7 linked regions of the Canis lupus familiaris genome follow. Each later gene encodes a partner of the first gene's protein in a complex. Links are inferred from orthologs where the notes say so. Each region holds a gene or a part of one and is shown on either strand. Other genes may lie near its edges.

Region 1 (4,186 bases):
TACTGGCCTTGAGCTCGGCCTTGGGGAAGATACCCGCTGAGAGGTCATTTGGTGGGTAATTAGTGGAAATGCTTTGGACCCTAGCAGTAGGCCCTGGAGAGACGAGCGGAGGCGGGAATGACCCTGTCGGTTTAGGCGGCCCCAGAAGTACCGGACTTTCTAAGAAGGATATCTGGCTGCAGAGACGAGGCTCCGAAGATTTACCCCTGGGCGCCTCTTGTCCATCCATCGCCCCCGAGGGCCGACAGTATGGAGGAACCGTAAACGCACAGGCTTCTTAACCCTAAAAGCCCTCAGGTGCCCCCTCGCCAGCGGGAGCAGACGCGGCGCCACCTGGGTCGCCCTCGAGCAGCAGGCTCCACAAAGCCCACGGTGCAGGCGCTGCCAGGTGGAGAGATCAGGTCGTCCCCCTTCGCCCCCACGGCGGTGGGTGGCTAATTAAAAAATGCTTATGCCGCGACCACCACCAAGAGGCACCTTTAGCGGTCAGAAGCCCCGTGGAGTTCGGTCACCTGGCCTTTGCGGGCGAATTAGGCCCGGGCCTTTCCCTGCGCAGGGCAGGCGGCCGCAGCCAGCAGTCCTGGCTGGGCTCCAGACCGGGCCCGGTGACATCACCAAACTCCTCCGATCAGCGGGAGGGGGCCCCCGAAATCCCCTAAAAACATTGTGAGTAATCACCGGGCCCGCCCTCCAGACGGAGCCCAGACCGGGGAGGGAGCCCAGCAGCCCTGCCAGCCCCGGAGCGGCGTCGGGACGAGCAGCCTCTTAGTCCCCGGAGCGGCGCAACCTGTCCCCAGCCTCGGGCCGTGGCGTCCGGCGCGCGGCCTCTCCGTCGTCGGCGCGGGGCACAGTTGCCCCCCGCCCCGCCCCGCCCCAGGGTGGCGGCGGCAGCGGCAGCGGCAGGGGCTGCGGCGGCCGCGGCGGCGGCGGAGGTGGCGCAGCGCGCAGGCGCGGCCGGATTCCCGGCAGTGACGCGGCGGCGGGCGCGCGCGGCGCATTTCCGCCTCTGGCGAATGGCTTGGCTGTAGCGCGCGCCGCGGGCCCAGCTGCGACCCCGGCCCCGCCCCCGGGACCCCAGCCATGGACGGTGAGGGCGCCCTCTGACCCCGCGGGGTGGGCGCGTCGGGGCCGCGGGGATGGCGACGGGAGCCCCCGCGCCGCCTTCCGCCCCTTCCTGCGCCGGCGGGTGCTGCGCAGGGAGCGGCCGGCCGGATGGTGGCGCGGGGCGGGGCGGGCTTTGAAGGGTCTGACTCAGTTTCCCCACTGGGTGGCGGGGTCTTGACTCCGTAATCTCCGGGGTGGCGGGGAGCTTCGGCCCAGCTTCACTCCGGGGCCCTGGGCGCAGGTCTGACTTCGTTTCCTCGTTAGGGGAAAGTGTATCCGACTCCGTTTGCTCTCAGGATGAGGCGTGGGGGTGCCCTCCGTAGTTTTCCTTTTGGAAGTAGAACAGCCTCTGACTCCGTTTCCCTCAGTAAGGAGAAGGCGCTCTGGCCAGTTTTCCCTCGGGAAACAGCTGTTTCTGCCTTCTTCACCCCTTCCCCTTAGTTTCACCGCAGGTTCCAGGGAGCGGGCCCTGCCCCAGTGCCCTTGGCGGGGAGGGAGCCTGGCGCTCTGTCCTCTCCGTGAGGAAGCAGGCGCTCCCCGGTAAGGACGGAAAGGGGGAAAGGGGGCTTGTGCTGATCCTTGTCTCCCTCCCTTTCAGACCTGTTTCCCCTCATCTTCCCAGCTGGTAAGTGGACCGCCTTCCCTCTCGGTGATTGGGGGAGGAGTGCCCTGGGGTTAGGGGCGAGGAGGGCAGCCGCCTGATTGGAGCTGGTCCGGGTCTGGCCACAGAGCCCGCCCAGGCCTCTGGCCCCTATGTGGAGATCATCGAGCAACCCAAGCAGCGGGGCATGCGCTTCCGCTACAAGTGCGAGGGCCGCTCAGCGGGCAGCATCCCGGGCGAGAGGAGCACAGACACCACCAAGACCCACCCCACCATCAAGGTCAGCATGACTGTTAGTGGTGGTGTGGGGGGCACAGGGTGGGTTTGCCGCCTCCAGGTGGGGGGTGGGGCTGGGTGCAGTGTCTGGGAGTTAGGTTTGGACTTCCCGGAGTCTCTAGAAGTTCTCTGTACTTTGAACAGATCAATGGCTACACGGGGCCAGGGACAGTTCGCATCTCCCTGGTCACCAAGGACCCCCCTCACCGGCCTCATCCCCATGAGCTTGTGGGGAAAGACTGCCGGGATGGCTTCTATGAGGCTGAGCTCTGCCCCGACCGCTGCATCCACAGGTGAACTCCTGACCAGCCGGGTATGGGGGGTGAGGTGAGGAGACGGGAGGCTGGGTGGGTGTGTAGCTGTTATAGTGTTACTCCATTCTGGACACTGGGAAGAATTCTTCACTTCTAGCTTTGCAAGCAGATTCTCTTTGCCTTGAAATCATCTGTGCATCTCAACTGTCAAGTAGATATGAGCTCCATGGGATAGGAATGGATCCCTAATAACCTCTGAACCCCCAAAGTAACTTCACTGATGAAAATAACATAGTTAGGTTGGAAGAATAGCCCACTGGTGGAGGGAAGGTCGGCAAGTTGGAGGTCAGGAAAAGCCTCTCTGTTAAGGCTTGAATAGTGAGGAGAGCAGAGAAGCATGGGAAAAAACATTTCAAGCAGAGTGAACAAATGCAAAGGTCTTGAAGTGGGGGTGAGTTTAGGGTGTTTGGGAAACAGAAAAGAAGCGGCTGTTACTGAGGGTAGGGAGCCCAGGCAGCAGGGCACAGATGCTTGTCAGCCAAGGTAAAGAGTGGGTTTCTTTACAGCACAATAGGAAGCACAGTGGTGATTTGGTGAATGGGGAGGGGAGGGAGGAACAGACTGGGCAGAGACAATGGGACTAATACATGGAGAGGGACTCAGCTTCCAGAACCTGGGGATCCAGTGTGTAAAGAAGCGGGACCTGGAGCAGGCCATCAGCCAGCGCATCCAGACCAACAACAACCCCTTCCAAGGTGAGGGCTGAGGGATCCCTGGGTGGCGCAGCGGTTTGGCGCCTGCCTTTGGCCCAGGGCGCGATCCTGGAGACCCGGGATCGAATCCCACGTCGGGCTCCCGGTGCATGGAGCCTGCTTCTCCCTCTGCCTATGTCTCTGCCTCTCTCTCTCTCTCTGCCTGACTATCATAAATTTAAAAAATAAAATAAAATAAAATAAAAAACAAGTTGAGGGCTGAGGGAGCAAAGGCTGAGACCTGTCCGAAGCACCCCCACCCTCTCTGGTTCTTCCAAGCCACCTCCCTTATTGGCCAAGACTCTTAGTACTGATGGAATTTTGCTGCCCATTCAGTACCCACTCCCATTTACCACTGGGGAAACTGGGAGCCAGTGAGGGGGCATAACACCCAGGGGCACAGGTGGGTCACACAGTTCAGTGATGGGTCTAGAATCTTCTCTCTCTCCTCCTTTAGGACTCCCACTGTTTGACACACCCTCAGACAATGCTCCCGGGTCCAGAGCTCCCTGCCCCCCTCATCCCCTGCCACGCCTCCCGGTCCCCTGACCGTCTATTCTTGTGGCAGTTCCCATAGAAGAACAGCGTGGGGACTATGACCTGAATGCGGTGCGGCTCTGCTTCCAGGTGACAGTGCGGGACCCGGCAGGCAGGCCCCTGCGCTTGTCACCTGTCCTCTCCCATCCCATCTTTGACAACCGTAAGTGACCAAGGAGCCATGGGAAGGGTAGAGGGAGGGACAAGCCTGTGAGGAGGAAGGGGTTGGTGGGGAATGGCCCACTAGAGGAGCTCTGGCTTCATGCAGGCATCTAGTGTATTTGTCACCTCTTCTGTGTCCAGCTCTGTGCTGGCTGTGGTGGGGGTTGGGGGGGGGGGCGGTTAATGAGACAAAGAAGACCTGGATCTGCCCTTAAGGTGTTAGCTTCAAGGCTGGCAGGAAGTCAGATAGAAGACAGGTACTTGGAATATGTGATGGGAGGATGGTGTGCCCGTAACTGTACTAACGACTCTGGGAAATGAACTCCTGGGAACAAGATGATGTTACAGAGTAGTACTTCAATGATGAAGCTCATAGGAAGTTCACAGATGGGGACGCCTGGGTGGCTTGGCAGTTGAGCGTCTGCCTTCAGCTCAGGGAATGATCCTGGAGTCCTGGGATCCTGGGATGGAGTCCCACATCAGGCTCCCTCTATGGAGCC
Region 2 (4,063 bases), on another chromosome or scaffold:
TAGAAAAATAAAACTCTCTTTTTGTACAAATATACAAGTCCGTGTTCTTTTAGATATGTTTTGAAGCTCATAACGTCAAGCGCTGGCCTCCAAGCACACAGTCATCATAGGGCAGCTAAAAACAAGAGAAAAAAAAGCCATGTTAAGCTTCCAGTTTTGTCAAAGGTACTGGGATAAGGGTGAGGGCCATTATCAAGTACTCTTGGATTCCATTCTCCATAACCCAAGTATAAATTAACCTCAGGGGCTAAGGAAGTTTTTCTTTAATGCTCCTCTCCTTTAAAAAGAGCAAAAAACAAAGACACACTTTTGGGAGACTCCTGGTCATGAACACTAAAGTGGGAGAACTTCATTGCATTGAGCTCTTTGGATAAAGAGGAGCTCTAGAGACCTGGGAGGGTACTGCTTTGTGCAGAGCGATGGAGTTGACACTCACCTCGTCCTCTGTGAACTCTGACTCTGTGTCATAGCTCTCCTCATCCTCACTCTCTGGCAGCATCTGAAGGTTTTCTAGGGTCAGCTGGCCCAGCTGCTGCTGTATCCGTGTGCTTGGGCGGCCCCACGTGAGCTGGTACGGGGAGTAGCCCTGGTAGGTAACTCTGTTGACATCAGCCCCACACTTCAACAAAAGCGACACAAGGTCAGAATTCTGCAGGTCCACTGCAAGATGGAGGGCGGTTCGGCCATTACAGGGCTCCTGAAACCAAAAGGAATTTGAGATGTTTATGGTTGAGTTTGGAATTTCTACTTGCAACAAGAACATGTGAGGTCTTATTGAGGAGGGCCTGGAGCCCTGATGCGTTCCATCTGGAGACATGAAGAACTCACCTGAGCATTGACATCAGCACCCAAAGACACCAGAAGCTCCACAATGCCCAAATAGCCATGGATAGAAGCTAAATGTAGACATGTGTGACCTAGAAGAACAATGAAGCAAATATAACCACTTGCTTCAACCCTCAGATCTCAAGCAGAACTTTCTGTCTATTCTTATAGGGAATAAATTCTGAATTTGGAGAACCCAGAATCTGGGCTCTGAATGAACTTTATCAAGGCATGAAACAGACCTTTTGCATGCATATTTTCTCAACCTTTCAAGTATTCAGAGTTTCAGCTCTTGCCTGGACTCCTAACATTGGCCTACCTCTCCCTTCTCCATGTCACCTGCCTTCTGATGGGCAGGGTAGGGCAGGCAGACATACCATTGTAGTTGGTGGCCTGGAGGATGGAGTAGAGGTGCTGGGTCCTGCAAGTCTGAGTCAGGACTCCCACGCTGGCCAGGCAGCCTTGCTCACAGGCAAGGTGTAGGGGGGTATTTCCTCGAAAGTCTCGGAGCTCAGGATCACAGCCAGCTTCCAGAAGTGCCTCAGCAATTTCTGGTTGGTTGGTGATCACAGCCAAGTGGAGTGGAGTCTACAAACACAAGAGGGAATAGAAAGAGGGTAAGCCATGGCCCAAACTCAAGAGTCTGTCTTCCCTTGAACTCCGGAGATCTACTGGTTGTGGGTGCTGCTCCTCCTCCCAGACAGGTATGAAGGGCAAGATAAATGCCAGAGGCCGCAGGTGGGCTTTCATCATAGGCCTCACCAAATCAATAGAATTTTCTTTATTCTCTAGGACGTTGGCCGATTCCAATGTAAAAAGGTCAAGGTACATAATGCCCAGTGATTATTAATTTAGAAAGGATTGGGAGCAACTGAGCTAGATCCAACTTCATCACTGGGTCAGAGGCACAGGGCTGGGCGAGCCGGCGCACCTGCTGCAGGTTGTTCTGGAAGTTGAGGAAGGCCAGGTCGCCCTTCACTTGGCGGACCACTTCCATGGTCAGGGCCTTCTCTTCATGGATGATGGCCAAGTGCAGGAACCTAAGGGGAAGAGAGGGAAAAACCCCCAGGGCTGGTGAGTGCATCGCGTGGGGCCCAGGGAGGCGCGGGCTGCGGGGGATTGCGCAAGGCCGGGGTTTCTGGAGGCCGAGGCCGCGGTGTTTTCCGCGAGGTTATTATGAGCTGAGTGTTCCTGGCAGGCGCCCAGGGACTTTCCGGGCCCCCTCCCTCCTCGGCGGGCGCCGGCCAGACCGCCCCGCCCTCCCGCCGGGCCGGAACGCCCTGTACTTCCCCTCCCGGCCCCCCGGCGCCCGCCCGCGGGGCAGGAGCTCCCGCCCCCCTTGTGCAAGCGGGGACTTCGCGTCCCCGCCGCCGCCCCGCCCCCGCCGGCAGGACCGGCTCCGGACCGGGGCTGGGGGGTGGGGGTGCGCGCTGCAGCGCAGGGCTGCTGCACCGCCAGCCCGGGATCCGACCCTCCTCTGCTGCCCGCAGCGCAGCCGGCAGCTTTGCGCGGTCCCGGGGCCAGGGGTGTACGGGGGATCGGTGCCCACACCCCGGTCGGCTGCCGCCCCTCGGCCTCGCGCTGCAGGCGCGGCGTCCCCGCCCGCCCCGAGACACCTACGAGTCTCCGTCCTCGGTGAGCTGCTGCTTCCAGGGCTCGGCGCCGCGCGGCGCCTCCTGCGGCTCGAGACGGATCTCCCGCAGCTCCTTCACCAGCTGCTCGTACTCCTCGTCCTTCATGGAGTCCAGGCCGCTGTCGTGGCGGTCGTCCAGCAGCCGCTCCTTCTTGAGCGCGTCCCGGGGACCCTCCATGGCCCAGTCCTGGGCGTGCTCGGCTTGCTGCAGCATGGCGCGGGAAGGCTCGGCGCTGCTGCCCAGGTGCGCTCGGCCGCGGGCTGCGCGCTCGCCGCCTCGCCTCGCCTCGCCTCGCAGGGTCACGGACGCAGGACCGCTGGCTGCGACTCTTGTGGGCTCGCCAGCGCCGCCGCGGCGCCCTATAAACGCTGGCAGGGGATTTCTCCGGGGCGGGGTCAGGCGCGGGGAATTTCCAAGCCAGTCAGACCAGAAAAGAGAACTGGCCCCGTCCTCTGCTCGGGAGGGGGAGGAAGGGGGAGAAGCCTAAACCCTGAGCCGGGTTCATCAGAGAAACTCCCGGCGATGAGCCACTGGGGTCATGTACAGGGAACTTTTTGATGAACGCTGAGCGGCTGGAAAGTCCTCCCGACCGAGGCCCCCTCCCCCGGTACTTCCCTGCAGCTTGCACTCGGTAATCCTGTCCCTCTGCAAGCGGCCTTCTTTCCCTGGGGTTTCCCACGATCGATTCGACTTGGGGTCGTCGGCTGCTGAGATCCCAATGAACGCAGACCCGCCAGGCAGTTCCTCCTTGGGGTTTGCCAACCTTTCCGTTTCTTGATCTTTTGAAAACTCGGGTGGAAATGATGGCTGGACGTAGGGATTTGCTTCCCCAAACTTCTGCGGGGAAGGACGCACTGGCGGGTTAGAAGGTCGCCGGCTGCCTCTGCCACCCTGCCAATGCCAGGCTCTTTGTGGCGCGGGGACACACGTAGCACTCCCTCGAGGCCCCCCCCCCCCCCCAACCAGGTAAAAGTTGTGCATGCTTTGGCATTAAAAGCCAAAAAGCTTTTGGCATTTTTTGGCATTGAAATGCTTGGAGAACCCTCAAATCATTTCCTCGGGATTAACATTCCTGTTGACTGGTGGAGAGGCAAGCACTCTGCCCTGTGTTCAGCGAAAACGCTGAACAGGACCATACTTTTTTTCAGGTAAAGCAAGGTGTTAATCTTTGTAGTAGAGGTTGTAGCTAGCTGCCCTGCACGAACAAAATAATTATTGAGGTCATGTTTCCTGATTTGCACTGTGCTGCTGCAGAGCCTACTTCTGGGTACCCAGCCGGTGTCTTTCCAGAAGCATTTGGAAGAGGCTGAAGAATAGGTTGAGAAGTGCCTTACCCAAGATTGGGCCTTAAGGATGGTTTAGATTGCAAAGCATCCTACAGAAGGCCACCCTCCCGCCAACCTAACATTACCCTCTTGCTGGCTCCCTGCTCTCCTGCCCTGGAGAGGGCAGCAGTTGGACCTCTCCAGGCGCTGTGTATAGCCCCTATGGGCTCCTCATCCTTTGGTTTCACCTGCAGAAATATAACTTACGTTCCCCACCCTACCCCCATTCTCCTAGCCAACCAGCCTCTAACAGAATTTTTCTATCTCTAGAATTGGTCC
Region 3 (4,280 bases), on another chromosome or scaffold:
TGCACAGCTTTTTCTGCCAGTCCCCGGAATCCACCATTCCCAGGGGGCCGAACCAGGAGTGGGGGCAAGGGGCTGGGGTGATGCCCTGAGGGCCCTGGGGTAACTGTCTCCCCTCTGCCACCTCCACCCCCCCCAGAGTGTGGGGTGTGGGAACACGTCCATTTCTCTCCTTCCCTCCACCCTTCCCCAAATCTCACCTGAGCCTCCTGCACCTTCCCTGCCTGGGTCTCCAGAGGGTCAGAGGCTGGGGGAGGAGGGGGAGCAGACGTGGTTACAGTGCGGGGCACAGTTAAGTGGGGATGAAGGGCTTCAAAGCAGAGGGGCAAGGGGCAAGAAGACCCACCAACCTAATTATACTGGGGTGGGAGGTGGTGGTAAAAGCTGAGCAGAGGGAGGGAGGGGATGGGGAAAAGCAGATCTTATTAGGATAGACAGTGCTGTCTGGAGAAGTGGTTAGTGACAGACAGAGGCTGGGGCAGGAAGGTTTGGGAGAGGGAGGAGAAAGTAAAGCATACAGGCATGGAGGAAGACTTAGAAGTGAGGAAGCAAACAGTAGTGAGTGTGTGTGTGAGCACGTGTGTGTGCAGGGAGGGTTAGGGTTTACAAACAGAGGGAAGTTTAAAAAAGGAAGAGAGAAAACAAAATACGCTTAGCAGAGACAGGTTTAGGAAAGGAGGTGCAGTGGAGACAGCACGTTTAGGAGGGGCACAGGAACTAGAGGGACGAGACAGGAGGGGGCGCCAGGGGTCCCCGAGCATCCTACAGTTCCCCCTAACAACCAGGTACCCTTAGCAACCGGGGCCGCGGCAATCTAAGTCCTTAGCAACGAGGGTCCTCAGCAACCGAGGTGCGAGAAACACGCGGTCATTAGTAACTTAGGGGACGTAGCAAAGGACCCTTACAATCTCGCGACCCAGAAACCCACCAGCCTGGCAAGATGGATCACTTAGCAACGACCCCCCACCCCCGCCCCGATTCCCACTGGCCGCCATGCAGCCCCCGTCTCCAGCCCCACCACGCCGGTCCTCGGGCCCCGGGGCCTGCAGCCCTCAGCCAGGCCCCGGTGCGACCCGACCCTCCCACCGGGGCCCCCGACTCACGGTCCGGCTCGGCCATGGGCGCGGGGCGGGGGCCCTCGGGGCTGTCACCGACTGCTCTGTCCCGTGACGGCACCGGAAACAGGAGGGGCAGAGACAGGGCAGAGAACTACGACTCCCAGCAGTCATCGAGGATGCATACAGGCTTTTCGTCCAGCGGCGCCTGCCGCTCTCGGGCTAGGAAGACACGGACGGCGAGACTACGAGTCCCAGAGGGCTCCGCGCAGGCAGCCATGTTGGTAAAGGGCGGCCGGAAACTGTGGGAATGGGTAGAGAGCCGCAGTCCGTCTGAATACTCTGAATGGTCACTGTGTGGTAAGGGGGCGGGGCGTGTGCTCTTTAGGTCATTCTGATTGGGTGAGCCAAGGGGGAGTGTTGGGGAATTCCCCGCAGGGCGGAAGCGCCGGGGCTTCAGGCAAAGCCAGCTACAGGCGGGCGGCCGCTGGGGCCCCTGAGGCTTCGGGGGCCATGGCCGGGGTCGCGTGCTTGGGGAAAGCTGCGGAGGCCGACGAATGGTGCGACAGCGGCCTGGGCTCTCTGGGTCCCGACGCAGCAGCCCCCGGAGGACCGGGGCTGGGCGCCGAGCTGGGCCCGGGGTTGTCGTGGGCGCCCCTCGTCTTTGGCTACGTCACTGAGGATGGGGACACGTGAGTGAACCTTAGGCTGCCTAACGGGGCCCTAGGATCCCACCTCTGATTCCCTATTAGTCTCCTATCCCGGCTCCCTAACCTTTCACTCTTAAATCTAACTTCTGATGCTCGACTTTCTGATTTGTAACTCCTAACCTTTAGTAAAACCAATTTCCTAGCCAACTTTGACCCTAACTCCTTAATTTCTCCGACTTTCCTTTCTTGAGCTCTGCTTCATATTGCTCCACATCCCTATCCATTGATCCCCAAACTGGTTTTGATCTTCCCGACCCAAGTCCGGAGACCTTTGTTAGAGTTGTGGTCCAGACAGGCTCCTCCTCACCTCCTACCTCCAAATAGGATCCTTGATCCTTAGCCTCCTGATGGATGCGCCTTGAACTTAGATTTCCAAAATTAATACATGACCTTGATTCTTAACATTCTACCTTCTGAGCACCGATCTTCAGATCTTACATCCAAAGGGAAAACGTAAGCTCCATGATAGCAGGGATTGATGCCTGTTAAGTATTTGCTGAACACCACCACGTTCCAGGCACTGGTTTAGGTGCTGCGATAAAGCAGTGAGGAAAACAGACAAAAATTTCCGCTCTTGTGGAGTTTACATTCTAAGGTGCGTATGTAGACAGACAAAAGGACAGACAGGCTGACAGAAAGACAGGAAGGAAGGGAGGGAGGGAAAGAGGAGAGAGAAGGAACAAAAGAAACTAAGACACAGACGCAAAGTGAGAAAGAAGAGAAAGGAAAAGAAGAAACAAAGAAAAACGAAAAACAGTATAAAGGAAAGGCAGAAAAATAGTGTATCTGAAGGTAATAAGTTCTTTGGGGGAAAAATAAAGCAGGAAAACGAGATCCGTAGAGTATCTGGGGGAGAACTCTCCAGGCAGAAGGAACCAGAATTGTAAAGGGCGGTGAGGGATTGTCCTGGGGTTTTTTTGTGTATTTGTGTCTACTCATCCAGTCATGGTGACTAAACAGGGCTTGACCCATAAGAGGCGTGCAGGAAATATTGTTCTTTCCAAAGACCCCTGCTGAGGTTTCATTAGTTTTCTTTATTGGTTTTTTGCTTTCTATTTCATTGATCTCTGTTTTGATTTTCATTATTGCCCTCTTCGGCTTACTTTGGGTCTAATTTTTTTTTTTCTTTCTTTCTCTCTTTTTTTAAAGTTTCTTAAGGTGGCAGCTGAGATCATTCATTTGAGACCTTTCTTCTCTAACATTGGTGTTTCATGGTATAAATTTCCAGCAGCAGTACTTTAGCAGTCTCTCACAAATTCTGATATGTTGTGTTTTCATGTTCATTTAATTCAAGATACTTTGTAATTTCTCTTTTGATTTCTTCTTTGGCCAGTGGATTATTTAAAAATATGTTATTTAGGGCGCCTGGGTGGCTCAGTTGGTTGAGCTCAGGTTGTGATCTCAGGGTCCTGGGATGAGCCTCCCATTGGGCTCTGTGCTCAAGTGTGGCATCTGCTTGGAATTCTCTCTCTTTCTCCCTCTGCCCTTCCTGCTTATGCTCTCTCTAAAATAAATAAATAAATAAATCTTTTAAAAAGGGGTAGGGGGCAGAGGGAGAGGGAGAGAGAAACCCAAGCAGGCTCTGTTGGGAGCAGGGCGTGATCCCATGACCCTGAGATCAGGGCCTGAGCTGAAGCCAAGAGTTGGTCATCCAACCCACTGTGCCACCCTGATGCCCCTAAATAAATCTTTTTAAAAAAATAAATATGTTATTTAGTTTCCAGATATTTGGAAAGTTTTCCAAATGTCTCTCTTTTATTGATTTTTAATTTAATTCCCTTGTAGACTGAGAACATACTTTGTATGACTTGGATCCTCGTAAATTTATTGAGAATTGTTTTATGGTGCCACACATTATGCGTGCACTTGAAAAGAGTGAATATTCTGCTGTTGTTGGGTGTAGGGTTCTCTAAAAGTCAATTAGTGGTCCTATTGGTTTATCATTTTATATATCCTTACTAATGGTTTCTGTCTCCTTGTTCTATCAATTATTGAGGAGGGGGCATTGAAATCTCCAGCAGTCATTATGGATTTGTCTCTTGTTCTGTCAGGTTTTGCTTTGTGTAATTTGATGCTCTGTTATTAGGGCATGGATATGTAGAATTATTATGTTCTTTTGCTTAGTTGACCTCTTAATCATTACAAAATAACCTTCTCGATACTTGGTAATATTTCTTGCTCTAAAGTCTAGTATGATATTAAAATATTCACTCCTGGGCAGCCCCGGTGGCCCAGCAGTTTAGTGCCGCCTTCAGCCAGGGCATGATCCTGGAGATCCGGGATCGAGTCCCACATCAGGCTCCCTGCATGGAGCCTGCGTCTCCCTCTGCCTGTGTCTCTGCCTCTCTCTCTCTCTCTCTCTCTCTCTCTCTCTGTGAGTCTGTCATGAATAAATAAAATCTTAAAAAAACACAACTCACTCCTGCTTTCTTTTGACTGACTGGTGTTAGCACAGTATATCTTTTTCCACCCTTTTATTTTAACCTATCTTTTAATACCTATATTTAAAGGGTATTAC
Region 4 (4,300 bases), on another chromosome or scaffold:
GCAACTATGACCACTTCAGGGTCAGCGCACTCATCAGTATCCCTCCCTAGCTCTTCCAAGTGAGCGTTACAAGAATATGGCTCCAACTGTGGAGATCAAACATACTCTAGTGCTAGCTATGCAGTACACCTAGCAGACAAAGGGCTTTATATGTTAGGGGCAATTGGTACCACAATCATCTGTGCAGTCTGCCCAACTCTAGCAGATGTTTGGGAAGTACCATTTGCCATCACCTCCAAGTCTGATACTCCAGCTCCATAGCAACCAAGCACATGTAGGAATCCATCATCTGCTACCACACATTACTGAGGCCTAACACGGCTTGTACATGCCATGCTCAACATTTTGGTTGTACCATTCAGGGATTCTGAATCAATAGATGCATGTTCTCTGCCAGAAGCCAATTCAATGCTTTCAAAGCAGCCAGCAACACTGCTGTGATGCACATGCTGTATTCATCTTTAGGCTTCTCAACATGTTAATCTGTGGGTCACAAAGTGTTGGTTGGAATTTAAGTACTGAGATCACAGGTGGGACTGTGCAAACGATGGCCCAAGTGCACATGATGTCAAGGGGTGTTCAAATGACTACTTTATGGAAGCAGTAACTGATATATTTCTTCAGAGAACTGGATGCCATAGTAATTTTTATACCCAGTTCTGGATATACTGACTGGATCCCCAAGTTCTGTGAGGCTGAGGCATATGACCAACTTAAAGTGAAAATGGGAGGTTGGTTCTTCCATGCTAAGGCTATCTGCCAATGGCAAATGCTTCTAGTTGCACCAACAGCATTCCTGAAGCTTGCCTCTGCAGCGCTGCATCACGAATCAGACACAGTTCCCTCAGTGAGGAACCACTGCACTGGCAAACCCATTAATGGAAGACCGACCACTGGACTGCAACCTCCATGAGGCACTTCGGGGAAAATTCCCCAAATCAGGAGGAACATTCTTTACTCCACAACAGTGTCACATCCTTGAGTCCTTTGTGATTACAGGCGAGATCCTGGTACAGGTGTACAGGAAGTCAAGCAAAAGATCTGAGCCTGATTTTATGGAAGATGATTAATCATTAAAAAAAAAACTATAAAGTGTAATGCATCGGTAGACGTGTTAGCGCAGGATTCTTTATAGTTTTTCGGATTCCGCAATATTTGAATCACTGGTGGCTTCTGCCAGTGCCACTTCAGCGAGCGGCGGAGTTGGAGGATAGATGGTAGAGGTCTGAAGAAAAGGTGAAATGCAGACAGGGTGGAGACGATGTGGAGTTTAGAACATGGCTTGAATGGAGAGCTTATAGTTTGGAAGCCTGGGAAATCCTATGTGGGTTCTCTCAGCCAGGAGAATGCCCAGGAGACTTAGCGGACTGGAAGCGAGCTGCCCTCATCCCGACCCTTTCTCTGGCCAGGTTCCTGTGTGCCCCCGGGAGCAGCTAGGGAAGGGCTTTTCCTGTGGCGGTTACCGGAAGTGACGCACACATCTCGCGAGAAGAAAGACGCGCGAGTCTCGGCGGCCCGGAACCGGCCTGGGAAGAGTGGCTGAACTTCAGGCCGCCAGCCCTCCCGCCCCATGGAGCGGCCCCCGGGGCTGCGGCCGGGCGCGGGCGGGCCTTGGGAGATGCGGGAGCGGCTGGGCACTGGCGGCTTTGGGAACGTCTGTCTGTACCAGCATCGGGTGAGGTGGGGCGAGAGAGGGAGCGGCGGTGGGTGTTTGTCAGAGCGTTTGTGGAACACAGCGACTGTCAGTACGTGAGACATTGTCGGTGAGACTTTGGGCAGCACCGTGGGCCGGTGAGCCTGTGTGAGTGAGTGTGTATTACTGTGCTTGTCGGTCTGGTGACTGAGTCCGAAGCTGTATCTGAGGTCCTGGGTCAGTGTGTGAAATAGAGCTCTTGTGGGGGAACTTTTGGTACGAACGTCAAGAAGTGACAAACTGTTTACCGAGTGTGACACTGCGATTGTGTCTCCGAGTGTAGAGGGTGTCGGGATGTGGGAGGCAGAGCCACATTAGAGTGTGTATTGTGAGCATGAATGGGTGAGAAAACGGGACTGAAGAAGGGGGTTGTCTGTTGGAATGTGTGTTCAAGTGTGTGCTTGGAGGCTGTGTGATATTTGTAGGGGCTGGAAGAGACAAGGAAGGTTTCGGAAGCATCCAGTAGGCTTCAGATCTTGGAATGCGTTCTGAGTAGGGAACAGTGTGAGGATCAGCTTGGTGAAATGATCATGGCTTCCTAAGGGAAGGAAGTAGATTGGGCGTGAGGTGGAAGACAGCTAACATCGGAGTCAGGAATTTTGCTTCAATTTAATTGAAAATGTTTAAGCATTTAGCAGCAGTTAATAATCATGTTTGAGCCATGCATCTTTCAGTATACCAATAAAAGCTATGAAACCTTTCCCCAGCAAAATGCACAGTTGCACATCCCCACCACCTTAGGTGCTGCCATTTGAGGGGGCTCATGCTCTCCTGAAGGATGTTCACAAACCTTTTAGAGGTATTAACCCTTGACTGATAATCTTTGCAGTGTTGCCTTTGTTTTTGTCATCTGTATTTTGTGTAAGATAGTTATATACATCATAGGTCTGTTTGAAAGTTAAAGAAGTTAATATGGGTAAAGCTAAGTACAATACCTGGCCTAAGTTAAGCCCTCAAGTGTTAGTTCCTGCTGCTGTTGTGTTGTTGCTATTGTCATCTTCTTTACCATTATTTTGTTTTCTTCTTTACCATTATTAATTAAACTTAAAAAAGGATACGTCAAGATAAAAGTGGCGCCCTTGGAGGACTGTTTTGTAAAAGATAAATCTGAGTGAAAAACACGGGACAAGATGAACAATTACAATATTATTCAAATGCATGCAATTGGCTTGTAAAGGGAATAAATGAATTCAAGATTTGCTTGAATCTTAAGGAATAGGGGTATGGGTAGAGAGCCCATAATATAGGATGGGAGGTAGGGGCATGGGAGTATACCTGGGAAAAATAGGTATGTTTGTGTGGCAGTCACAATGACAAATGTCAGTGATGGAGCTGAAGAAATGTTGTGAAGCAGCTTTCTAGATAGAGCATGGGAGGACATCTTGAAGAGAGGGAGAATGGGAGGTGAAGGACTAAAGCATTAAGTACTCTGACAGCTAAACAAGTAGTAAATTTAATAATTCTCACCATCAGAGAGTACATAAGGCACTTAAAGAGAAAAGAAGGAGCCAAGTACTTCCAGTGAAATGTTGCCTTTGGTGTTGTTATCTAAGCCTGTTCATTAGCCTGGTCATAAAAAAATATATGCTTGGTAGCTTGCTTTGTGACTGCTTTTCTTGGTCACTGGTTGGAAATAGATCAACACATCATTTTTTAAAAAAATTGTGATAAGGTATATATAATGTGAAATTTACAATCTTAACCATTTTTAAGTGTACAGTTCAGTGGCATTAAGTACATTGACATTGGTATGCAACCATTACTACCATCTATTTCTAGAACTTTTTCACTTTACCAGTCTGAAACTGTATTCATTAAACAATAACTCCCCATTTCCTCCTCCCCCTGCCCCCTGGCAACCACCTTTCTACTTTCTGTCTCCATGGAATTAATTACTTATTAAATGGAAGAGATTTGGGTTCCTCTAGAATCCTAGAAATCTCTCAGGAACTTTCCAGGTATCTAGACTGGTTCTTTCCTCAAATTGGAACATTTGACAACGGGGCTTGTAGTGGAAAGAGAAGAAATACTCTAAGACTTGGAAATAGCTTCATTACTTTTCCAAGCCTGACTTTGGATTTGCCCTTAACAGTTTTCAAGATCTTTGTGTTTTGGTGGAAGCCACGTCCCCAGTATTTTATCTATATCTCTTAAATCACAATGAGGAAGAGAAAAGGATGTGAGATGGTTTATTTATCAGATTATTATGCTGGGATGGGTGCTGATGGTATCCCAGTCAACAAAAATCGTATTTTCTGCCCTCAAGGAGATTTCAAGTCTAGTGGGAGAGGTAGACACAAAAACACTTTAAGTACAGCGTGGTAACCTATATAACAGATATATTTATAAATTTTTTTTTAATTTTTATTTATTTATGATAGTCTCACAGAGAGAGAGAGAGAGAGAGAGAGAGAGGCAGAGACACAGGCAGAGGGAGAAGCAGGCTCCATGCACCGGGAGCCCGATGTGGGATTCGATCCCGGGTCTCCAGGATCGCGCCCTGGGCCAAAGGCAGGCGCGAAACCGCTGCTATGATAGAGTGGCAAAAATAACCAAAGAATTCTTCCTAGGGAATAATGTAGCACTTCTCAAAGTGTGTTTGGGAAA
Region 5 (4,006 bases), on another chromosome or scaffold:
CAAATTTAAACACACCCAAATGCTCCTACACCGCCCCCTTTCCTTCCGACCCGAGGTCTTGCAGCCTACTTCGTTTTCCCTGCATATGTGAGATGCAATCAATGGGTAAATATATTTTCAAACTATTTCCTTCCCCCCCCTTTTTTTTTCTGAAATATTCGCACACGTTCCTTCGTAGCTCGTATTATTTCCGCCTCTCTAGTAATAATATTCCCGACACAAATGTACATCCTCGGAATCCATTCTCTCCCCGCAGTCACAGCACCACATCACGGCAGGTGCCGCGGTCTCCGCCTTCCAGAAGTTAGCACTTTGCGGCCAAGCAGCTTCTTTGACTTCCTAAGACGAGGTACCTTAAGAGGCTGTAGCATCACTGGGTCACCAGCGCTTCCCGAGCTCCTACCTGTTGCGGGGACAGGTGTGCAGGGATGGACGGGTCGGATGCGCCTAAGGCGTCCTTTCCCTTTCCCACCCGCTGTCCCTCTCGCTTCCCGCCGCGACTCGCGAACGCGCGTCCCCCCTGCGCGTCCCAAGCCCACGGCCCGGGCCTCGCGCGGCGGGAACCCCGGGGGGGCGGGGGGCGGGGGGCGGCGGGCGCGTGTCCCGACCCAGACTGGGCCGAGGCGCAGCTCGCACTTCCTGTAAAGCCAGCGGAGCGCGCGAGCCGTGCCCTGGAAGAGAAGGCGCACTCGGGGGGGGGGGGGGGGGCGGGGGGATACTTTAAGTCCGCCCCAATCCTGGACCGCAGAGGTCCGAAGCGGCCCCGGCAACAGGAGCGAACCAACTCGTTCCCGGGCCTCCCTTCCCCTCCCCGCCGCCCCCCAAGTCGCCCAATTCCCGTTCGCTTCCTCCCGGCGGCTCCCGGGCACGTGGTCCCTCCCCGCCCTGCCCCCGCCGCGCCCTCCCAGCCTCCCCCGCCCTCCGGCCCTTCCTCCCCGCGCCGCTCGCTTCCCCTTTCCGTTTTCTCTTCCGCCCCCCGCTCTCCATCGTCCTCTTTGATTGGTCGAGCGCACCGGAGCCCGGTTGGCCAATCGGCGAGCGGGGCTGGCGGCGATGGGCGTGGCCGCGGCTCCGGGGCCCTCAGATCGAGGCTGCCTCCCCCTCTCAGCCGGCAGCACATTCCGCCGCCGTTGCCGCCGCCCGGCCCCGCAGTTGTCTTCGGCGGAGCTGCGGTCGCGCCGGGGTTAGGGCGGGGGGGGCGGGCGGGGAGAGGAGGAGGAGAAGGCCGCGGCGGAGGCAGCGGAGAGGAGGGAGGAAGCGGCGGCGCGGCGGGCACTGCAGCTGAGGCGGCGGCCCGGTTCCTGGGAGTGTCGGTGCGGCGTGGTGGTTGGGGCGGATCCCGCGGGGGCCCGGGCGGGGGAAGGAGTCACCGGCCCGGCCATGGCGGACAACGAGAAACTGGACAACCAACGGCTCAAGAATTTCAAGAACAAAGGCCGCGACTTGGAGGTAAACTCGGGGGCGCCGGAGGGGTGGGGGCTGCGGGCCTCGGGCCGACGTCCGCCGGGACTCCGGGCGTGGGGGGCCGGGGCGGGCGCCGTCGCCGGGCCGCGGGGGAATGGCGCTGGGGGCCGGCCCGTGCGTGACGCCTCTGCGAACGCGCCGGGAAGTTTGTGTCGGGCCTGGTCCCCCCTCCGCCCGGGAGCGGGGTGCGGGGGTACGGCCGGCGCGGCCTAGGCCTGCCCCGGGGAGCCGGCCCGGCGCGGGTGCGAGGGGCTGGGCCGCGCGGCGGGGAGGACCGGGCGCGGCGAGCGCGGAGGAGGCGTGCGTGTGCCGCGCGGCCCCGGCCCGGCCCCGGCCCCGGCTCCGGCCCCGGCCCCGGCCCCGGCGGAGATTCCGGCTCTGCCCCGGGCCCCGCCGTCTGGCGCCGCGTGAGGAGGGCGGTGGGGGGGGGGGGGGGGACGAGCGTGCGGCGACCGAGCGGGGCTCGGAACTTCCCCTGCGGGGTCCGAGTCGTCTCCACTTAAAGGCGTTTTCTCTGGTCTTCCCGACTCCCGCTTTACCCCTGCCTCCCCCCGATGTCCAAACTACAGGAGTCAACTTCTCCGTTGAAAAAAACACCCCCGGCGTGAGAGGCCATCCTGGTGGATGCTAACAGTGCCTTCCAGCGGCCTGTGTTTTACTCTGGATATAGCTGATTCAAGATGTGGCTCACGGTGTGCCCTCTTCCAGGCAAAGAATACCCCTTATTTCAGCTTGCTCACAAATCTCTTTATCCCCTCCTGAGAGACCACCAGCTGCATTCTTATATATAAAGTCCACAGGGTTATACAAAGCTGTCATCCTCTAGTCTACAGTATCCTTTCCCTCCACCTGCAGGTGGTGGTAGTGGGGGATGGGGTGGGCTCTGGAATGGCACCATCCCGTTTTATTTTAGAAGGGGGGTGGGGGGGAACCCTTGATTATCTTCGATACAGCTCCCCCTCCCCCCCCAGGTGGTTAGGCTACATGAGGTGTGTGGGTAAAACACACACACACACACACGCACACCAATCACAGAATTTTGATAGACTTTTCTTCCCTTCAGTGTTGAGAGTCTAGGTAAATCGATTCTTTTTTTTTTAATACGTGCATCCTGTGCCTGCATCAGGAATGTAGCTTTTAAAAGAAAAAGTGGTCAAGTAGTAGTTTTTGTATTGCTTCCTCTGTACTTTTTTATACTAAAATCTCCAAATTCCCATCACCTGTTTCTGAACTTTGAGCATTTGGTTGACTGAGATAGTAACTATCCTGGGGGGCTTTTCACAAAGCCGTTCAATCTTTAAGGTAGTTTGTGTTGTTTTCAGTAGGTTTCATAGTTTGAGGATCTATTAAAATACCTGAGGATGTGGTTCTTAATTCTGTGATTGTTTTAAGGTTAATGTGAGATATTATCCTGTGATCCTTTTTTTCCTGTGGAAAATTTTTAACAACTTTATTGATATAATTCACATGCCATAATAATCACCACTTTAAAGGTACAACTTACGATTTTTTCATTAAATTTACCTACTTGGGTAATACTGTGATGAAGGAAATTTTTTACTGATATCAATATTTAGAATGAAAACCATTACGAAATTTAAAAACATAAATACCTCAAGTTACAAAATCCAAAAAATAGCGATTAGATGCTTGACAAGTTCTGATGCTTTCCCTTCACCTACATTTCTGGCTGCATTTTTTTTTTTAAAAACAGCTTCATTGAAATGTAATTCCTATGCTATACAACCCTGTGCAGCCATTAGCACAGCCAATCTTAAAATGGTCTTATCACTCCAAAAAGAATCTCTATTTCCCTTTACTCTCCATCTAGATTTGCCTATTCTGGATATTTCCTATAAATGGAGTTACATAGTATGTGATCTTTTGTGACTGGCTTCTTTTAGGTAGCATAATGTTTTCAGGGTTTTCACATGTAACAAAAATAAAACAGAGCCTCGTTCCACCTCGTTCCTTTTTATGGCTGAGTAATATGCTGAATAATAATCCAGCCTATGGATATACCACATCTTGTTTATCCGTTCATCAGTTGATGAACATTTGCTTTGTTTCCACTCTATTTTAGCTGTTATGCGTAATGCTGCTATGAACGTTTATGTACATAGTTTTTTGTGGACCTATGTTTTCATTTCTCTTTGGTTATATCCCAAGGAGTAGAACCAGTGGGTTATACGGTAACTTTAAACGTAACCTTTTCTGGGATTGCCAAACTGTTCTAAAGCGATCCTTTTTTTTTTTTTTTTTTTTTTTTGGTAATTTGATGTTTCCTCTTACTGTCAATTTCTTATCACATTAGTCAAAATAAGATTGTGCTGACTCTATTAGAACAATATTATAAGTGATTTTTAAAAATAACTATAAACACATTAACCAGATTTTTTTGAGAAGTTTATAGTGCCTAGGGACATCCTTGAGGACTTTGATAACCCTGTGGGTACAAAAGAAATAGGGATATTTTCACTGTTTCACCTAGGAAAATGACATGACTCTAGTGGAAACTGTACTTTCTCCTCACTTATTCAAA
Region 6 (4,182 bases), on another chromosome or scaffold:
GTTGAAAATTTCATGGCCTTTAGGAATGGGCTGAGTGGCCACCATCCGAAGACAATTCTAGGGTGGAAGGGAGAAGCTGGGACCTGGCCTTTCTTTGGGCAGCTCCATGAAGATTAATTCCCTCTTAGGAAAAGCCTCCCAGTGGGTACAGTTCAACAATGGGACTGATCACATACCTACCAACATTCTACTTTTAGTTCCTATTATGATCCTGTATAGGCACACCTCAGAAATTGTACTTAGGGTTCAGCTCCAGACCACCACAAAACAAGTTTTTTTAAATGCGAGTGAAATGAACTTTGACATCCCAGTGCATATAAAAATCTTATTGTAGAAAACAGCTTTATTGCTAAACTGTGCTAACCATCTGAGTTTTCTGTGAGTTGTAATTACTGATCAGATCACCAAAACAAATATAGTAATGAGAAATTTTGTACTAAGATTCTTCCCAAAATAAAACAGATGTGAAGCATGTGGTGTTAGAAAAATGGCACTGATAGACTTGCTCAACACAGGATTGACACAAACCTTCAATTTGTAAAAAGCACAATCTATCTGAAGTATAATAAAGTGAGGCATGCCTGTACAATAGGATGAAAGAGGTGTGATTTAGAAAGGTCAAGTTTAGCCCCATTACTTGATTAAGTAAGTCTCTCTCCTTAGTCCTCTTCAGAACTTAAAGCTACTAGCTTTTAAAAATGAACAGTTAAACTCAGATCAAAGTAGGAATGGCAGACAGAGGCTAGGATTAAAAAAACAGCCATTCCCTAATTTCAAGAACTCGGATCTTTTCTTGCAACTTTCCACAAAGCAAATGGAATTGATACATAACCCTGGTATCATCTTAGATCTGACCTATGGCCATGCCCTTTTCTCCCCCTTCCCCAAAAGTAATGACTGTATAGCTGTTCCAGGCTGATGTCAGGAGGGCCCCAACACTGCCTTGGCTCACTGGTACGGACTGCATAGAGGAGCCAACCTCCAGCACCAAAAAAATGATTGCAGTAGCTTAGCAGAGACTTAACCAAAACTTTCTTTGTGGGCTGAGGTTTTGTGTTCAAACTATTTGACGGGAATACACAAACTGAAGATACATTAAAAAAAAAAAAAAAAAAAAAAAAGCTAATTTCACCTATGCATTTTTACCATGCCAAGAATGGAGCCCACTTAGCCCAACTGTCCCACCAGCATAAATGACAAGCACTGGTTTGAATCAAATGCCTGATCATCCGTGCAATAATAACAGCACCTGGGTGGCTCAATGGTTGAGTGTCTTTTGCTCACGTCGTGGTCCCAGGGTCCTGGGATCCAGTCCAGCATTGGGCTCCCCATGGGGAGCCTGCCTCTGCCTCTCTCATGAATACATTTTTTTTTTAAAGGAATAACTAAGAGGGATCCACTCACCGGAGAGTATTCTAGATTGGCATTATGATTGGCTAAGTGGTTTAGTATGTCTGCAGCAGGCACCATCAAAGGGGAGTTTGGCTCCTTTTCATCGTCCTCTTCCTCCAGTGGTTCCTGAAAGCTGCCACAAAGAGAACTTTGCTAAAGCCCAGAGACTGGGGTGTGGTTCAGTGTTCTTTCCCCTCTCATCCCTCAATAGAATTCTAAAGCAAAAAAGTCCTTCGTTCTGCTCACTGACCTGTAGGCCATCACAAGAGCCACAAGCTGGCGGTAGAGATCCAGGGAGCGAACCCTGGGGCTGAAAAGATCCGGGTGGGCTTCCATGAAGGGCAACACGATGGAATAGTATTCACTGCGGATGTTGGCCAAGTCCTTCTCCACGGCCTCCGGTACGCCCGTGCCCTGCAGCAGTTGCCGGCGCTCCTCCTCGGGCCTGCAGGGAGACCCCACCGGGTTCCCTTCACACATCCCACCGAGACTAGTGCTTGGGAGCCCTGTCCCCGGGCCAGGGCTGTTTGAGCTAGGCTATGGTGCTGGTGCTCCCCACCCGTACTGAGGCTCTCACCAGAACATGGGGTGTTCCAAGCGGCCCAACTCCGGCCAGAGCGCAAAGTAGGGGCTCCAGAGCGAGGCTGGGGTCTGCAGCTCATGCAGCAGCGCCAACAGCAGCGGCACCCAGCCCGACTGGCTCTGCAGCGCGCCTCGCTCTGAGGGAGACGGGGAGGTGAGAGCCCGGGCGCCACCCCGCGGCCCGCCTCCCCGTCCCGCTCCCGCAGGCGCACCCACCTCGCTCCAGCAGGCCGCCTATGGAGCAGGTGTGCTGCGACAGGAGCGCGGCCCGCGGCACGGCGAACAGCAGCTCCCCGGGCTGCACGCTCTCCCGGGCCACCATACCGTAGCCGGCCACCGTGCCCTGCCGGCTCACCGTCACCTGAACGGGGGAGCGGCCGGTCCGAGCTGGCCTGCGCCCCCGCCCGCCCGCGCCCGCGCCCGCGCCCCCGCCCCCGCCCGCGCCCGCGCCCGCGCCCCCGCCGCCTCACCTTGGGACTCAGCTCCAGCCCCACCTGCCGGCACCAGCTCAGGAAGCCGGCCACCGGGTCCAGGTCCGGGTCCGGGTCGCTACCGCGCACGGGCCCCGCCACCTGAAACGAGCGAGCGCCGCGGAGACGGCCCGCCCCGGAGGAGGCCGAGGCGCGCGTGGAGGAAGTGCTCTGGGTGGGGGAAGGGGCGCGGTGAGAGGGCGGGGGCCTGCGCGAGCGGAGGGAGGGGGCGGGGGGCCGCGCTGCGGGCAGGGTAGGGACGAGGCGCGGCGGGGAGGACCCTGCGACTTACCCGCCGGCGCTTAGCCCGGGTCGCCATGGTCCCGGCCCCGCGGCCCCGCGGCCCCGCGGCCCTAGAGCCCCGCGCGCGCACTTCCGGCGTCTGGGGAAGGGCCTGGCGGGGACGGGGGCGGGGACGGGGACGGGGACGGGGGCGGGGACGGGGACGGGGGCGGGGACGCGGGCCACGTGACGTGGCCCGGGCCGCGGGGTGGAGGGCGAGCGGGGCTTGGAGCCTGCGCGATCGCTCCTCCCGGGAACGTGCTCCCGGGGCCGGGGTGTCCCCAGCGGGGTCTAGAAGACGTGCGGTCGGGTCCCTCCAGAGGACCCGCATCGAGCGAGGGTCTGAGTCTGCCTTCCTGATCTCGAGTCCCAGCCACTCAGCTCGTCCAACCCGTGTTATTTGCTCCGTAAGAGCAGGTTGCGTGTGCGCGTGCGTGTGTGTTTCCGAGGGGCACGGGAAGGGGCACGGGAAGAGTTCCCAGGGCTGGAATAGCCCCTCCGCCGCACTTGCTAGTATATCCCTCTGTTTTTCATCGTATACATGGGGTTTTATTTACGTGCTTTATTAGTTGACACATAGCAGGTACGCAGTATCTATTAAGTAAATGAGTGAATCAGAAATGGTGGTTAAACACAGGAAAGTAGAATACTTTTAAGAAACTGAAGCAGCGAATATAGAGGGCTTTGCAGTCACACAATGTTAAAGCCAGCTCCCAGCTTGGCTTAATAAGAAGCCTAATAAGATGGCAAATTCTTTATCTTGAGGCTCTGTTTCCTCAGCTGTGAAACTGAGATAACATATACCATGTGGAATTAACGTAAGGATGGGTGGGCACCTGGGCGGTGGCTCAGTGAAGCATCTGCCTTCAACTGTGGTCATGATCTTGGGGTCCTGGGATCCCGCAGCACCGGGCTGCGGTTTAGCAGGGAATCTGTTTCTCCTTTTACTTCCCCCTCTTCGCTGCTCTTCCTCACTAGCTAATTAAAAAAACAAACAAACAAACAAAAACACATAAGGATTGGTAAGATAATGTGATAAGAACTGTAAATAAGTGGGGGACCTGGCTGGTTCAGTTGGTAGAGCATGTGATTCTTGATCTGAGTGGTCCTGAGTTCAGGTCCCCAGGAGTTGAGTTTTTTAAATAGAACTAGAAGTAGAAACAGCAATGGGAACTCCTGCATACTCAGTCCCACCTAAACCCAGGAAGGACCTCAATGCTGCCATCTCAAAAGCTTCCCGTAACGGGCCTGGCGGCACTATACTTGAATTCTTCACTTATTAGTTTGTCAACACAGTTAATTAACTCTATTTGACAAGGGTTTTTATTTGTTTTACATTTTGTCATCTCAAAGTTTCATGACATCAGCCACCAGAATACATAAAGTTAGGTTCTTCACTTTATACAGAGAGGAAAATAATAAACTCCAGTAGAAGTTCACTTGACCAAAGAGACCA
Region 7 (3,107 bases), on another chromosome or scaffold:
TCAAAGGGAAGGGACAGGGAAATTTCTGAGAGGCAGACTGGGGGAGGCAGCACTCACCTGGTACTGCTACCCTATAAAACAAAATGGTATGTGTCACCGCCACCTTCTTTATCTTGGTCCTGTCTCTCTCTCCAGGTGCTAGCGTCCCCCTTGGGGAACCAAATTGGGCTGAGCACCCAAGTGGCCTGCTTCCCAGCCTTTGACAGAAGGCAGGCTGAGTCAGGCAGGAGAGCTGGGCCCCCACCCTGTGTGAGCCCCACTGATACATGATGGCAGGCGGCTTGGAGGGGGTAGGTGACCTGGCGTGGAGAGCCAGAGGGTAGGTCCTCAAACAAGTGGTAACAGGCCACCAACTTGAAAGGGAAAATTGTGCTGTGATGGGGAAGGTGTCCAACAAACCTACTGGATGACTAATTACAAAGGCTGGGCTGGAGCGTCAGGGGCCGCTCATTAAATACCTCATTAAGTGGCACCCTGAACGATGCCACCTGTGCATTCTGGGACCTCAGAGGGAACCCTGAGGGGGGGTGATGACCAAGGGAGAGAACCATTTCAGGTAGACTCCGGAAGAAGCCTGGATTTCACTTCTAAATACAGTCTGGAGCTTACAAGTCAGAGGCCTTGACGAGAGAAGCCAAAGGAAGTAGGATACAGGGGATTTATTAGCTGTGTGACCTTGAGCAAATCTCATCCCTCTCTGAGCCTTAGCATTCCCACCTCTAAAGTGGGAGTAAAAGTCATAGTCTGGCCCATCTCACAGAGACATAGTAAGGATTCAATCCAATCGTGGCTGTGAAGGTGCTTGGGAAACTACAGCCCTACCTAAACATAATTATCTCACCCAAACCAAGGTGGAAAATGTACCTGGTAGGATTAAGAACCCCATCCTCCTGGGTGCACCTGTCTTCATGCGCTCTAGCCAGGCTGAAGCGGCCACTTGGTTGAAGCCATCCCTGGCCCCTGGAAGAACACCATGAAGGAGGATCTGATTTGAGAAACTGGGGCATCTGGGTGGGCACTCATGGAATCAAAGCACCGAACAAGAGGGGGCAGCCTGGAGCTTGGAAAGGTGTCCTGTGCAGGTGGGGCCGACGCCCGGCGGAGTTCTCCCGCAGACTGAGCCCCGATGACTCACCCTACATCCCAGCCTTTTACCTTTAAGGAAGAGCCGGAAAGGGTGTGGGGAGAAGACCAGAGGGAGGCAGGTCCCGGGCCCCAGCCCCGCCCTCGGTCCCTCCCCACCCCTCTCTGGGGCCAGACCTTCCAGCCAAAAGGCAGGCAGAGAGCAGGAGAGGCACAGAATCCGGCATCGGTTTCAAGGCAGCCAGTTAGCCCGCCGCCTGTCTGTCACCAGAGCCATGGAGAGAGCCAGTCTGATCCAGAAGGCCAAGTTGGCAGAACAGGCTGAGCGCTACGAGGACATGGCAGCCTTCATGAAGAGCGCCGTGGAAAAGGGTGAGGAGCTGTCCTGCGAAGAGCGAAACCTGCTCTCGGTGGCCTACAAGAACGTGGTGGGGGGCCAGAGGGCTGCCTGGAGGGTCCTGTCCAGTATCGAGCAGAAAGGCAATGAGGAGAGCTCGGAAGAGAAGGGCCCGGAGGTGCGAGAGTACCGGGAGAAGGTGGAGACCGAGCTCCGGGGCGTGTGTGACACGGTGCTGGGCCTGCTGGACAGCCACCTCATCAAGGAGGCCGGGGATGCCGAAAGTCGAGTCTTCTACCTGAAGATGAAGGGCGACTACTACCGCTACCTGGCCGAGGTGGCCACTGGTGACGACAAGAAGCGCATCATTGACTCAGCCCGGTCCGCCTACCAGGAGGCCATGGACATCAGCAAGAAGGAGATGCCACCCACCAACCCCATCCGCCTGGGCCTGGCCCTGAACTTTTCTGTCTTCCACTACGAGATCGCCAACAGCCCCGAGGAGGCCATCTCACTGGCCAAGACCACCTTCGACGAGGCCATGGCTGACCTGCACACCCTCAGCGAGGACTCCTACAAAGACAGCACCCTCATCATGCAGCTGCTGAGAGACAACCTGACGCTGTGGACCGCCGACAACGCCGGGGAAGAGGGGGGCGAGGCTCCCGAGGAACCCCAGAGCTGAGCCGCCCACCGCGCCCTCCCCGCCGCGCCCTGCCCTCTCCAGCACCCCGCCCGCCCGTGGCAGAGAGGACTAGTGTGGGGTGCGAGGCCCGACCCTCCTACCCCAATGCTCTGCCTCCTGCTCACGAGAGCTCCGAGGAGAGGAAGCAGCAGAGCTGAGGCCGGCTAGGGCCGGGGGACTCGCTCTTCCTGCCGCTGTCGGGGCCCGCCCACCCCTGCTCTCCGCACCCCTCCCCGAAACCCCACCGCCAACCGGGCCACTTCCTCCCCCTCCTGCCTCCCTCCTGCCCCCCGTTGCCTCTGAATCTTAGGAATTGAGGAGTGTCCCACCCTTGTGGCTGAGAGCTGGACTGTATGGCAGAGCCTGGAGATGAGTGTGTGTGTGTGAAAGAGCGAGAGCGAGTGAGAGCACGAGTGAGAGCGCGCAAGACCCGGATGAAAGGGAAAGCATGTCTGCTGGGTGTGACCCTGTTTCCTCTCAATAAAGCTCCCCTGTGACACTCCTCCTGTCTCTTCCAGTTATTGGCGAAGCGATGGGACAAGGACTGGCTTATGATTTAGAGACCTTGACTTCTGATTTAGGGCCTTGACCTCTCACGGGGCTGGCTCAGGGACCCACAGGCAAGACTCTGGAGCCAGTGACCCCAGGTGAGAGGCTGGGGGGCAGGAGGTCCAGCTCTCCATCAGGGTGGCCCCCAGCAAGCTGGTCTGGTCCCGGACGGTCGGGGGAGCGCAAAGGCGGCCCTAAGGCTGCTCTAGGGCTGCAGGGCGGGGGGCTGAAGAGTCCAGATCTGAGGGGACAGGAAAGCCTCTCAGGTGTGAGGTCCGAGCGACAAGGACAGGTTGTAGTGAGCCGCAGCGAGCACCCCGGCCTTGAAAGCGAGTTAGAGGCCCATCCAGTGCTCAGATCTGAGAGGAGGGGAGCACAATCTGGGTAGAGGCTTGCGCCGCCATTAAAAGCCCGTATCTGAGAGGGGATGCCCCCGCCCCCAGCGCTCCGACT

What was found.
Region 2: the proteins of RELA (region 1) and NFKBIA are in contact, whole or in part, in a crystal structure (PDB 1NFI), measured with the Homo sapiens proteins. The link is inferred for Canis lupus familiaris from reciprocal best matches to the Homo sapiens genes RELA and NFKBIA. Residues at the interface, in NP_068810.3 of Homo sapiens: Arg50, His181, Lys221, Ser238, Phe239, Ser240, Gln241, Ala242, Asp243, Arg246, Arg253, Asp294, Arg295, Ile298, Lys301, Arg302, Arg304, Thr305, Tyr306, Thr308, Phe309, Ile312; in NP_065390.1 of Homo sapiens: Thr71, Glu72, Asp73, Asp75, Phe77, Leu80, Ala81, Ile83, His84, Glu85, Glu86, Leu89, Leu110, Gln112, Leu117, Ile120, Thr121, Asn122, Phe142, Arg143, Leu150, Gln154, Arg218, Asp226, Leu227, Gln249, Tyr251, Gln255, Leu256, Trp258.
Region 3: the proteins of RELA (region 1) and NFKBIB are in contact, whole or in part, in a crystal structure (PDB 1K3Z), measured with the Mus musculus proteins. The link is inferred for Canis lupus familiaris from reciprocal best matches to the Homo sapiens genes RELA and NFKBIB. Residues at the interface, in NP_033071.1 of Mus musculus: Lys218, Lys221, Ser240, Gln241, Ala242, Asp243, Val244, Arg246, Gln247, Asp294, Arg295, Arg297, Ile298, Lys301, Arg302, Arg304, Thr305, Tyr306, Thr308, Phe309, Ile312, Met313, Ser316, Pro317, Phe318, Gly320; in NP_001293151.1 of Mus musculus: Tyr53, Thr55, Glu56, Asp57, Asp59, Ala61, Leu64, Ala65, Ile67, His68, Gln69, His70, Pro72, Phe73, Phe76, Asn91, Leu93, Gln95, Leu100, Ile103, Leu104, Gly105, Arg125, Val137, Arg275, Leu283, Arg284, Asp306, Lys307, Leu308.
Region 4: RELA (region 1) and CHUK share a complex: the UniProt entries of both Homo sapiens proteins name them as parts of the 70-90 kDa complex. The link is inferred for Canis lupus familiaris from reciprocal best matches to the Homo sapiens genes RELA and CHUK.
Region 5: the proteins of RELA (region 1) and KPNA4 are in contact, whole or in part, in a crystal structure (PDB 7LF4), measured with the Homo sapiens proteins. The link is inferred for Canis lupus familiaris from reciprocal best matches to the Homo sapiens genes RELA and KPNA4. Residues at the interface, in NP_068810.3 of Homo sapiens: Lys301, Arg302, Lys303, Arg304, Thr305, Tyr306, Glu307, Phe309; in NP_002259.1 of Homo sapiens: Lys231, Asp271, Arg306, Asn310, Val312, Thr313, Gly314, Thr315, Asp316, Thr319, Lys344, Glu345, Trp348, Ser351, Asn352, Ala355, Glu387, Trp390.
Region 6: the proteins of RELA (region 1) and SETD6 are in contact, whole or in part, in a crystal structure (PDB 3RC0), measured with the Homo sapiens proteins. The link is inferred for Canis lupus familiaris from reciprocal best matches to the Homo sapiens genes RELA and SETD6. Residues at the interface, in NP_068810.3 of Homo sapiens: Glu307, Thr308, Phe309, Lys310, Ser311, Ile312; in NP_001153777.1 of Homo sapiens: Ser120, Trp122, Val220, Met221, Ala222, Tyr223, Ser224, Phe225, Gln226, Glu227, Pro228, Pro238, Asn239, Ser240, Pro241, Asn259, Leu260, Tyr262, Asn283, Thr284, Tyr285, Met288, Met296, Tyr297.
Region 7: the proteins of RELA (region 1) and SFN are in contact, whole or in part, in a crystal structure (PDB 7O6I), measured with the Homo sapiens proteins. The link is inferred for Canis lupus familiaris from reciprocal best matches to the Homo sapiens genes RELA and SFN. Residues at the interface, in NP_068810.3 of Homo sapiens: Ala43, Gly44, Ser45, Ile46, Pro47, Gly48, Arg50, Ser51; in NP_006133.1 of Homo sapiens: Glu14, Tyr19, Leu43, Ser45, Val46, Lys49, Asn50, Gly53, Gly54, Arg56, Lys122, Arg129, Tyr130, Gly171, Leu174, Asn175, Val178, Glu182, Ile219, Leu222, Asn226, Leu229, Trp230.

The regions. Positions count from the first base shown.
Region 1 is NC_049239.1:52,050,666-52,054,851, forward strand, and holds the start of RELA (transcription factor p65), read left to right. Parts: upstream 1-1,386; 5' UTR 1,387-1,401; coding exon 1,402-1,471; intron 1,472-1,702; coding exon 1,703-1,729; intron 1,730-1,812; coding exon 1,813-1,985; intron 1,986-2,125; coding exon 2,126-2,274; intron 2,275-2,898; coding exon 2,899-2,990; intron 2,991-3,555; coding exon 3,556-3,687; intron 3,688-4,186. UniProt on the Homo sapiens protein: NF-kappa-B is a pleiotropic transcription factor present in almost all cell types and is the endpoint of a series of signal transduction events that are initiated by a vast array of stimuli related to many biological processes such as inflammation, immunity, differentiation, cell growth, tumorigenesis and apoptosis.
Region 2 is NC_049229.1:14,263,084-14,267,146, forward strand, and holds the start of NFKBIA (NF-kappa-B inhibitor alpha), read right to left. Parts: upstream 2,801-4,063; 5' UTR 2,673-2,800; coding exon 2,446-2,672; intron 1,866-2,445; coding exon 1,757-1,865; intron 1,414-1,756; coding exon 1,203-1,413; intron 918-1,202; coding exon 829-917; intron 698-828; coding exon 437-697; intron 116-436; coding exon 68-115; 3' UTR 1-67. UniProt on the Homo sapiens protein: Inhibits the activity of dimeric NF-kappa-B/REL complexes by trapping REL (RELA/p65 and NFKB1/p50) dimers in the cytoplasm by masking their nuclear localization signals.
Region 3 is NC_049222.1:115,001,088-115,005,367, reverse strand, and holds the start of NFKBIB (NF-kappa-B inhibitor beta), read left to right. Parts: upstream 1-1,480; 5' UTR 1,481-1,565; coding exon 1,566-1,744; intron 1,745-4,280. Other genes in the region: SIRT2 (NAD-dependent protein deacetylase sirtuin-2), read right to left, coding at 1,101-1,226. UniProt on the Homo sapiens protein: Inhibits NF-kappa-B by complexing with and trapping it in the cytoplasm.
Region 4 is NC_049249.1:13,186,549-13,190,848, reverse strand, and holds the start of CHUK (inhibitor of nuclear factor kappa-B kinase subunit alpha), read left to right. Parts: upstream 1-1,500; 5' UTR 1,501-1,570; coding exon 1,571-1,675; intron 1,676-4,300.
Region 5 is NC_049255.1:26,798,771-26,802,776, reverse strand, and holds the start of KPNA4 (importin subunit alpha-3), read left to right. Parts: upstream 1-1,206; 5' UTR 1,207-1,380; coding exon 1,381-1,449; intron 1,450-4,006. Other genes in the region: insulin receptor substrate 4-like, read right to left, coding at 354-688, 744-987. UniProt on the Homo sapiens protein: Functions in nuclear protein import as an adapter protein for nuclear receptor KPNB1. Binds specifically and directly to substrates containing either a simple or bipartite NLS motif.
Region 6 is NC_049223.1:57,410,847-57,415,028, forward strand, and holds the start of SETD6 (N-lysine methyltransferase SETD6), read right to left. Parts: upstream 2,801-4,182; 5' UTR 2,764-2,800; coding exon 2,737-2,763; intron 2,616-2,736; coding exon 2,445-2,615; intron 2,336-2,444; coding exon 2,191-2,335; intron 2,112-2,190; coding exon 1,970-2,111; intron 1,838-1,969; coding exon 1,643-1,837; intron 1,526-1,642; coding exon 1,405-1,525; intron 58-1,404; coding exon 1-57. UniProt on the Homo sapiens protein: Protein-lysine N-methyltransferase. Monomethylates 'Lys-310' of the RELA subunit of NF-kappa-B complex, leading to down-regulation of NF-kappa-B transcription factor activity. Monomethylates 'Lys-8' of H2AZ (H2AZK8me1).
Region 7 is NC_049223.1:72,665,232-72,668,338, reverse strand, and holds SFN (14-3-3 protein sigma), read left to right. Parts: upstream 1-1,258; 5' UTR 1,259-1,358; coding exon 1,359-2,105; 3' UTR 2,106-2,607; downstream 2,608-3,107. UniProt on the Homo sapiens protein: Adapter protein implicated in the regulation of a large spectrum of both general and specialized signaling pathways. Binds to a large number of partners, usually by recognition of a phosphoserine or phosphothreonine motif.